Linked DNA regions of Oryzias latipes. The protein of the gene in region 1 interacts with the protein of each later gene in a pairwise test. Links are inferred from orthologs where the notes say so. Each region holds a gene or a part of one and is shown in the gene's direction. Other genes may lie near its edges. The genes, in order: prkcz and partitioning defective 6 homolog alpha.

The links.
Region 2: the proteins of prkcz (region 1) and partitioning defective 6 homolog alpha interact in binary tests that used the Homo sapiens proteins (3 or more experiments, as listed by UniProt). The link is inferred for Oryzias latipes from reciprocal best matches to the Homo sapiens genes PRKCZ and PARD6A.

The regions. Positions count from the first base shown.
Region 1 is NC_019865.2:32,864,474-32,868,817, forward strand, and holds the start of prkcz (protein kinase C zeta type), read left to right. Parts: upstream 1-1,532; 5' UTR 1,533-1,744; coding exon 1,745-1,821; intron 1,822-4,344. UniProt on the Homo sapiens protein: Calcium- and diacylglycerol-independent serine/threonine-protein kinase that functions in phosphatidylinositol 3-kinase (PI3K) pathway and mitogen-activated protein (MAP) kinase cascade, and is involved in NF-kappa-B activation, mitogenic signaling, cell proliferation, cell polarity, inflammatory response and maintenance of long-term potentiation (LTP).
Region 2 is NC_019864.2:4,759,131-4,763,718, forward strand, and holds the start of partitioning defective 6 homolog alpha, read left to right. Parts: upstream 1-1,672; 5' UTR 1,673-1,992; coding exon 1,993-2,061; intron 2,062-4,588. Other genes in the region: putative proline-rich protein 21, read right to left, coding at 118-1,569. UniProt on the Homo sapiens protein: Adapter protein involved in asymmetrical cell division and cell polarization processes. Probably involved in the formation of epithelial tight junctions.

The DNA.
Region 1 (4,344 bases):
TAAATGGATTATTTTTATGTACAATCGACATGATTCATTCACGTAAGATTTACAAACATAAAATTTTCTGGTTGAAATGACAAGTTACTTTTTCGTTAACTTAATTGGCTGGTAATTTCCTTTTTTTGAGTGCTGTTTTGGGTCAGGATGCAGAACCAAACATTTCCACAGACGCTGAAGGCCCATTTGCATCTGATCCACAACAGCAAGAAACATCAGGTTTGCACATCATTTAAATTACTAGTGTAGTAGATATGATATGTATTTTTATAGTCACAGTGTGAACATAATTTCATGAAATGTATGATAATCCATACTGCCTCAAACATTTATTTATTCACAATATATGTGACTTTTTTAGGATTACAAACACAAAAACATCCACATCCATTACAGAGGCTTCAGTGGATGAAGAGCTGCCCCCTGACCCACTAACTGCCCCTCATGACTGACAGGAATCCAACACATCTGGTTTGCAGAGGAGGAATTCAGGTTCCATCCACATTTGTTTCTCTCAAGAATGAGAATGATAGAGGAAGCTGCCATCAGCAGTACTTCAGATGAACTTTAGTTAGTGGAGGAGAGGAGAAAAAACGTGGTTGGTGTACTTAAAAAAAAGGTTCTCGTGTTTTTGCTGCAGACCTTTTTCCAAAAGGAAAATGAGTTTAACAGACCCTGGATTAATGCCAGTTCTTTGATCACCTCACATGACAATAGATCCTATCCACTGCATGAAAACTAGAAAAGAATTAGATGTGAGGATAAGAAAGCTTAAGCTTATCAAAATGTTCCTAAGATCATCCAAGGCTCAAGATCAGCTACCTGGTCTGGTAGCTCTAATCATCAACCACTGAGAAACTAACAAACCAGGGTTTGACTGATGACTTTGCCCGTATTAATGCAAGACTGACACATTTTTAGTTTAAGAGAAGCAGACCAAGTTCATAGTGTAAGCTATGAGAATTTTTAATTTAATATTATGTATGTAGCCCAATATTAGCAAAGTTGTCTCAATAAGCTTCAAGCTTAAATTGCACTAGTTGTTAATAGATTTTTTACATGGAGGTCATTTCAAGCCTCAAGCAAACATGTGTGTTGTTATCCTTGTAAGACTTATTGTTACTTTTGGTATTTTTTTTCCAACAGTCCTATAAGCTGTACGAATTTACAAGCCTCTGGTTGCTTTTTAAAATAATTGTTAATAGTGAAATATTTGAACCATAAAGTAAACCATAATAAGCTGTTGTACTTTTCTGGGTAGTAACTGGGGGAAACTGAGGGGCGCTACTGGTGTGGCTGCCAGAACCGCCACTCCCGCTGTGGGTCGCAGCGGACCCGCCGCGAGGAGCGGAGCGGGACAGGTGAATTCTGACCCCCGTAACCATAGAGAGCCACAGAAATCTATCAAGCTGCGAAGTGAGCAACCTACAGTTGTGCTTTCAAAATAAAAGCATCGGCCTCTTCCTCAATGCTGCCGCTGCCTATCATAGTTTCAATTTGTCTTATTTTGAAAGTGTGGAGCGGAAATGGCCTAGTAGTTATCGAGAGCTTGACGGCTCCACCGTCTCCGAAGCCTTTAATGTTTCTGCACCGTAAAAAAACTTCAAAACCGCTCCGTTAGTTTTCTTTCCGGAAGTTTCCTCCCGGGTCCGCGCGGGATAGTCGCGCTGAATGCCCCGCAGCGACCCGCAGGTTGGGTTCGTCAAAGTTTGGGCCTGTCCCGGGACTTTCAGCAAACTGCGGGATGGACGCGCTGACGTCGAACGGATCCATCATGGACCTGGCCTCTAAGGTGGTGAAGATAAAAGCGCACTTCCGCGGGTAAGTGACCTCCTCCGGCGCGTGGACACCTGCGGAGCCAAGGCGGCGCGCGGTGTAGCGGGCCGGGCCGGGCCGGGCGCGCGGGCACACCTGCCGCCACAAGAATGAGTAAAACAAAAACACCGTTTCTGACTTTCTCACTGCAGGAAAGTTAAATAAGTCCACAAGTGAAAGCAGTGTGACCTGCTGGTCACCAGAAATATCAGACACTGAAAGGTTTGATGGACTTTCGGTCCCAAAGCCTCCATTCTCCTTCAGTTCGGGACATGAAGGTGAGCGCCGCAGTGGCTGATGGGTGGACTCTGACAGCAGGAACCCCAGAACGGTTCCTTCAAACCTGTCTGAGGAACTGGAGGTTCTTCACCCACGCAGGTCAGAGAACAGGTGGAAGTGAAGCAGAAGGACGTCACTAACCATGATCTAAAGGGAGACACGTGAACGCCTCTCCCAGTGTGTGTTCATCTGAACAAACCAGTAGTTGATAGAAATGAGTTTTATTTTGCTCTAGTTCAGAGGTGAACTTTCATTTCCTGTGTCTCCATTGATCTTTGAGCTTTGAAAACATCCCTCCTTGTGGTTTTAATGAGCTGTAGTTGTTGTGGGACCAGCGGTTGCCGGGGCGACCTGCTGCCTGGACTGAAGTTCATTCTTGCAGTGAGGAGTCCGGCTCTCCCTGTCACCTGAAGCTGAGGGGGAGGAGAGCTATTCTGATGAGGAGAACAAACATGATGAGTCTGGAACTAACCTTTAGCTTTGGTTCTCTATCCCACACATGAGGATTGAACAGGAAGTCTTTAAGCATCTATATTAAAGCAAAACTAATCATTTTAGTTCATATTTGTAATAAATCTTTGTTAATGATCCAAACTATTGACATATTAGATGTTAGATGCTGGCCTCCTATGTAGACAAGGGTCATTTGGACTAGGGCTGGGCGATATGGCCTAAAAATAAAATCTCTGATTTTATACTTTTTAATTCGATTTTAAGATTTTTCCCCCCGATGTCCCCCCCCCCCCCCCCCTTACTTAAGGAAAGCAATAAGTACAAACGGCAGACAACTTAAAGCAAATTTTGCTTTTATCTAATCAAACGCAAGACAAATGTAACCCCCATTTCTGGGATGAATAATAAGTACATGAACACACTCTTGGAATCAAAGTCCCAGCTGGGTTTTAAGTCACACTTTGTAGTCTAGACTAAAAGGAGACAAACATTCACCTTGAGAGTAGCACCATTTTCTAAAGGATTAACATTACAGCTCACATCTGGGATCTAAGGTTTTAATTCAATTAATAAACCCCGTCTTCTCCACGGTATCTATGGGTACCATCTCTTTGGCTATATGCCACCGTGCCCCTTTCATAGGGATGGGTACCGTGCCCCGGTATTGAACGAGCCCCGGGGCAACATTCTTCAAGACTGCAGTATCGTTAAGATCTGACCTCAACGGTTCTGCTATCTGTACTAGAGAAGTCGCATTTTTTCTGTGTCCCACAAGATATAAACAAGAGCTGTGACGGTGTGGGATTTTTTTTTTTTTTTTTTATAACTTTATTTATTGAACATTTTCTGTATTAAACAGACATACAGAGTGTAAAATGAAATGTAAAAAAGGCAATGTGTAAAAATAAACACTCACATGTCAACCCGTCCCACCCACCCCCGTCAACAACCCCCAGAGGCCAAGTCAGACACAAAAAAAATAAATAAATAAATAAAATAAATAAATAAAAAATAAAAAAGTAAATAAATAAAAAACACAAACCACTTGGGCTTTTTTTTTTCTTTTTTTTTAAAATAAGAAATACGTCCAGAAAAAAAAAAAAAAAAAAGAAAAAAAAAAAGGTAATTAAATACGTAGTAATAAGTGAGAAAACCAGGGTAACAGCAGTGGCTTTTTGTTGCACTGGTGCTCAGTCAGCCTCCAGATTGTGAGGAAATGTCAAGGAGTCCACATATTGTAGGAAAGGGCTCCAGGTCTCATGAAACACCCTGAGTGAGCCATGAAGTGAGTACCTAAGCCTCTCAAGTTTGAGATTGTAAAGCACCTCGCGGACCCAGCGGACATGCGAAGGGGGACGGGGGAGCTTCCAGTTCAGCAGGACCAGCCTGCGTGCTAATAGGGTGGTAAATGCAACGGCCCGCTTTAGTGCACTCGGCGTGTCTGAAGTTGGGGGGAGACCAAATATTGCCGACATGGGATTTGGTGTGACGGTGTATCTGTAAGCCCTCGTTAGTGTATCAAATACATCTGTCCAAAGAGCTGCGATCACTGGGCATGACCAAAACATATGGGCATGATTGGCAGGAGAGAGATGGCATCTGCTGCAGGCATCACTAATAGAAGGATAGATTTTGGCCAGTCTGGCATTGGTGTAATGGACCCTATAAACAATCTTACATTGAATCAATCTATGGCGGGCGCAAATAGAGGACAAATGGACAAGAGACAATGCCGACCTCCATTGTTGTTCCGTAATGTTAAGGTTTAGACCGTCTTCCCACGCAGTTTTGACAGTA
Region 2 (4,588 bases), on another chromosome or scaffold:
CAGGAATGTGTCAAACAGAAAGCAGAAGGACAGCATTCTCCTCATGTCTGCAGCGTGACGGAGCTCCTCCTGACGCCTCAAGGTGGAGGAAGGTGGGTGACGATGGTGGGTGGAGGACTAAGGAGGGAAGGTGAAGTATGGAAGTGGAGGATGGAGGGTGGGGGATGAAGGGTGGAGGGTGGATGGCGGAGGATGAAGGGTGGGGATGAAGGGAGGAGGGTGGAGGATGAAGGGTGGAGAGTGGAGGATGAAAGGAGGATGGTGGAGGTCCTCTGGGTGCTGCTGCAGACATGGAGCCTTTCGTCCTAGGATGGAGGATAAAGGATGGAGGATGAAAGATGGAGGGTGGAGGATGGAGGGTGGAGGATGGAGGATGAAGGGTGGGGGATAAAGGATGGAGGATGAAGGATGGAGGATGAAGGATGGAGGGTGGAGGATGGAGGGTGGAGGATGGAGGATGAAGGGTGGGGGATGAAGGATGGAGGGTGGATGATGGAGGGTGGAGGATGGAGGATGAAGGGTGGGGGATGAAGGATGGAGGGTGGAGGATGGAGGGTGGAGGATGGAGGATGAAGGGTGGGGGATGAAGGGTGAAGGGTGGGGGATAAAGGATGGAGGATGAAGGATGGAGGATGAAGGATGGAGGGTGGAGGATGGAGGGTGGAGGATGGAGGATGAAGGGTGGATGATGGAGGGTGGAGGATGAAGGGTGGGGGATGAAGGATGGAGGATGAAGGATGGAGGATGAAGGATGGAGGGTGGAGGATGAAGGGTGGGGGATGAAGGGTGGGGGATGAAGGATGGAGGATGAAGGATGGAGGATGAAGGATGGAGGGTGGAGGATGAAGGGTGGGGGATGAAGGATGGAGGGTGGATGATGGAGGGTGGAGGATGAAGGGTGGAGGATGAAGGGTGGGGGATGAAGGGTGGGGGATGAAGGATGGAGGGTGGATGATGGAGGGTGGAGGATGAAGGGTGGGGGATGAAGGATGGAGGATGAAGGATGGAGGATGAAGGATGGAGGGTGGAGGATGAAGGGTGGGGGATGAAGGATGGAGGATGAAGGATGGAGGATGAAGGATGGAGGGTGGAGGATGAAGGGTGGGGGATGAAGGGTGGGGGATAAAGGATGGAGGATGAAGGATGGAGGGTGGAGGATGGAGGGTGGAGGATGGAGGATGAAGGGTGGGGGATGAAGGGAGGAGGATGAGGGATGGAGGGTGGAGGTCCTCTGGGTGCTGCTGCAGACATGGAGCCTTTCGTCCTAGGATGGAGGATAAAGGATGGAGGATGAAAGATGGAGGGTGGAGGATGGAGGGTGGAGGATGAAGGGTGGGGGATGAAGGGAGGAGGATGAAGGATGGAGGATGAAAGATGGAGGGTGGAGGATGGAGGGTGGAGGATGGAAGATGAAGGGTGGGGGATGAAGGGAGGAGGATGAGGGATGGAGGGTGGAGGTCCTCTGGGTGCTGCTGCAGACATGGAGCCTTTCGTCCATACACTGTGAGAATAGGGGTCGAGCAGGACGCTCTTTCTGCGGTCGGTTATTGGGTTCTGGGTTTCATCCATGTCGGTGCCTGAGCCTCAGGTGTGCTGCAGGTGTGAACTCTGTCTGCAATCCTCCGGCGGGAGGGGGTCGGGTTCGTCCGGAGACAGCAGCGACATGGTCCCGCCCCCTCCGCTGAGTCCTCCGGGCTGGTCGGGGGTAGGGTTGGGGGAGGGGGTACCGGATTTACCGGACTCCACCTGTCACGATCTCTGCGCTGTTCATCTGCGCGTGCACGCATGCGCGTCTGGTTGGGGGGACGGGCGCGCGCAGACACGAACGACATGGAGCTGACCGAACCGGTTCTGGAGCAGGAAACCGACAAGCCTGCTGCGCGCTCTCGCCGCCTCCTCCATGGTTAGACTGGGGCGTTCAGAGGAGGAAGCAGCCGTGTCCGTCCCGGAGGACGCTTTTCCCCGCAGCCGACCGGACCGCCGCGGAGCAGCATGTCCAGAGCGTCGCAGAGCCGCACGCCCACCCGGGCGGCGGAGAGCGTGGTGGAGGTCAAGAGCAAAGTGAGTGCGCGGCGGGAACGGCACCGAGGGTGGGGCGCATCCGCGGCGGAACGCGCGGTGCGCCTCCACCGCTCCGGTTCACGGTCACGCGCCGCAGATCCACAGAGATCTGGCGCGTGGATCGGTTCTGCTCTCGGTTCTGTTCAGCATCATCCGGGTAGAGCAGGGCCGGATCCGCTCATTCCAGAGCCCCATGGAGGCAGACATGGGGCCTCTGTGGATGAGCAGAGACCCCCCCCCCCCACACACACACACACACAGAGTTCTTTTAGCAGAAGCAACAACAAAACCAAACATGTGGAACTAAAAAAGAAGCCGGATCAGACAGAGAGAGTCTGAGGATGTTTGTCTGTGAAACCTTCAGGGAAATGAGGGATTCAGTTTCTAAAAGCTTCACCTCTGGTTGGTAACTTTCCTCTGGCTCTGTGATGCTTAAGGATCAAATATTTGTCAGGGTTTCCATAACGGTTTGGTAAATGGAAATAATTTGGACTTTGGAAACGGTTCTGCTAATTGTCACTTTGGAAAGGATGTTATTATTATTGTTATTGATTATTATTAAAATGTCACCTTAAAACATTGGAGATTAGAGCTGAAAACAGCAAAAACTCCAGTAAAAACTTTGTTTATCCATCAGTCAAAAACAGAAAATTCCTAATCTTTTGGGGGGATTTTCCCTCATCGTTTATTTTTTTGTCCCTCATCCGTTTATTTTCATTGCTCAGCAGATTTTTCTTCACAGATCTTTCTTTCCTCCTTTTCATGGCTAAATCTCAGTTTCTAAACACTTTGTACTTTTAAAAAATGAAGAGACCTTTTGTCAGATTGTAAAAGCTTTGGAGGTAAATCGTGTTGAAGAGCTTTACTTGTCAACATTTAGCAAGTGATGGAGGTCTGCGTCTGTGTGTGTGTGTGTGGGGGGGGGGGGGGGGGTCTGTAAATGAATGAGGAACATTTCAGAGTCAGGCTGTTTCCAGCTGTTACTGCTGGGTGTGAGCTGGTATGTTCAGGAGCCAGTTTAATGGCAAAAATAATCCATATTCATAAAATATGAATGTTGAAACCTTTGGGCTGAACCCCCCACCCCCTCCCACCGGCAGGGTGCTGGTGTGTTTTGGGTCCAGACGTCCAGTCAGGGAGAAGTTGTTCCTTTTGGTGGATGCTGTCTCTGGTATGACATTGTGCTGATATTATGGTCTGTCTCTGTCCTGAAGGGGTCAGCAGACAGCCTCAGATCCTCTGAGGAAAGCTTGGAACAGGATGTCCCGCCACGTGTCCTCTATTTAAAGTGTCGTTTTCGGAATGAAAAGACACTGACTGAGATAAAGGGGACTCAGGATCTGGTCTTCCGAGTTCACACAGTCCCCTAGCGGACTCCGCAGACCTTCTCCGTCCTGCTCATGACACGCACATCTGGAGGCGTCTGTGGGCATGAGGATTTGGTCGGTCCATGTTTTGAGAGCCAGATGTTGTCCTAAAAGCTGCAGAGCCGTAGAAGTCAGAGAAAAGCGTTCACAGCTGGAATTTACAGCGCTGTGCTCACCTGTCAGTGCCAAAGAACTGTGCTTATGTGGCCCAAATGTGTTCTGCTTTTCTTTTCATGTTGGCTGTTTGTTTCTCATGCGCAGGTGAGGGACAGTTGCACTAACTTCATCCCTGTGTACATAAAGACGTGCACGCTGGTGCACATCTGCTGGCTGCTAACAGATGAGCAACAGCAGGCTCATTCCAGCAGGAGATGCAAACTTGGAGTCGACTGAGGAGCTGTCAGCGTTTTTGTTCTTCATGAAGGCTGTGCTGATTCAGGACAGCTTTTTGCCCAAGTCCAGGCCCGTCATCTACGGTGCCAACGTCACGCTCAGCTGGGATGAGTAAGATGGCTCCAGCGTGTACACAGAAACAGCTGCCCATGCTTCAGTGTTTCCTTACACATTATTTTTGTAAAGTCTTTACATGACAAATGCAGTTTGTTCCAGCTTGTCGTGTTTTTCATGCAAAGCACAATTTTCCATAGACTTCTCTGGGAAATCAAGGAAATGAGGAAAAACGGAAGACAGAGAACTAGAGGGGAAGTGCCAGTAAAAACATTCAGGAAAATGTCTTTTTTGCAGTGAGCATACAGTCAGCTGTGGGATCTAAGTACAGGCGTATGCAGCAGCGTTCCCTCTGCAGGTCATTGGTTCTGTTGGGTTTGTTATGCACAGTACTACAGTCTTATCTGAATGATAAGACTTCACTGATTCTGTTTTTAAATCCATGCAAAGCCTAACCTGAAAAACATCTGTAAGTCTAAAACTGTCAGGAAATCTCAGGAAGAGGCACAGCTAACAGCCATTGATAACCATTAACCATTGAAATCCATGATATTGAATCACAATTAATCATATTAGCATATAATAAACTAGCTAACAAGTTCAAGATCTGAAATAACCTCTAAATTCATCCAAATCGTATCCAAAATTAAACAACCATTGTTTCTTGATTTTATCATCCCTTCCAGGCTTCCATACATGTCTGTCTCATTGCT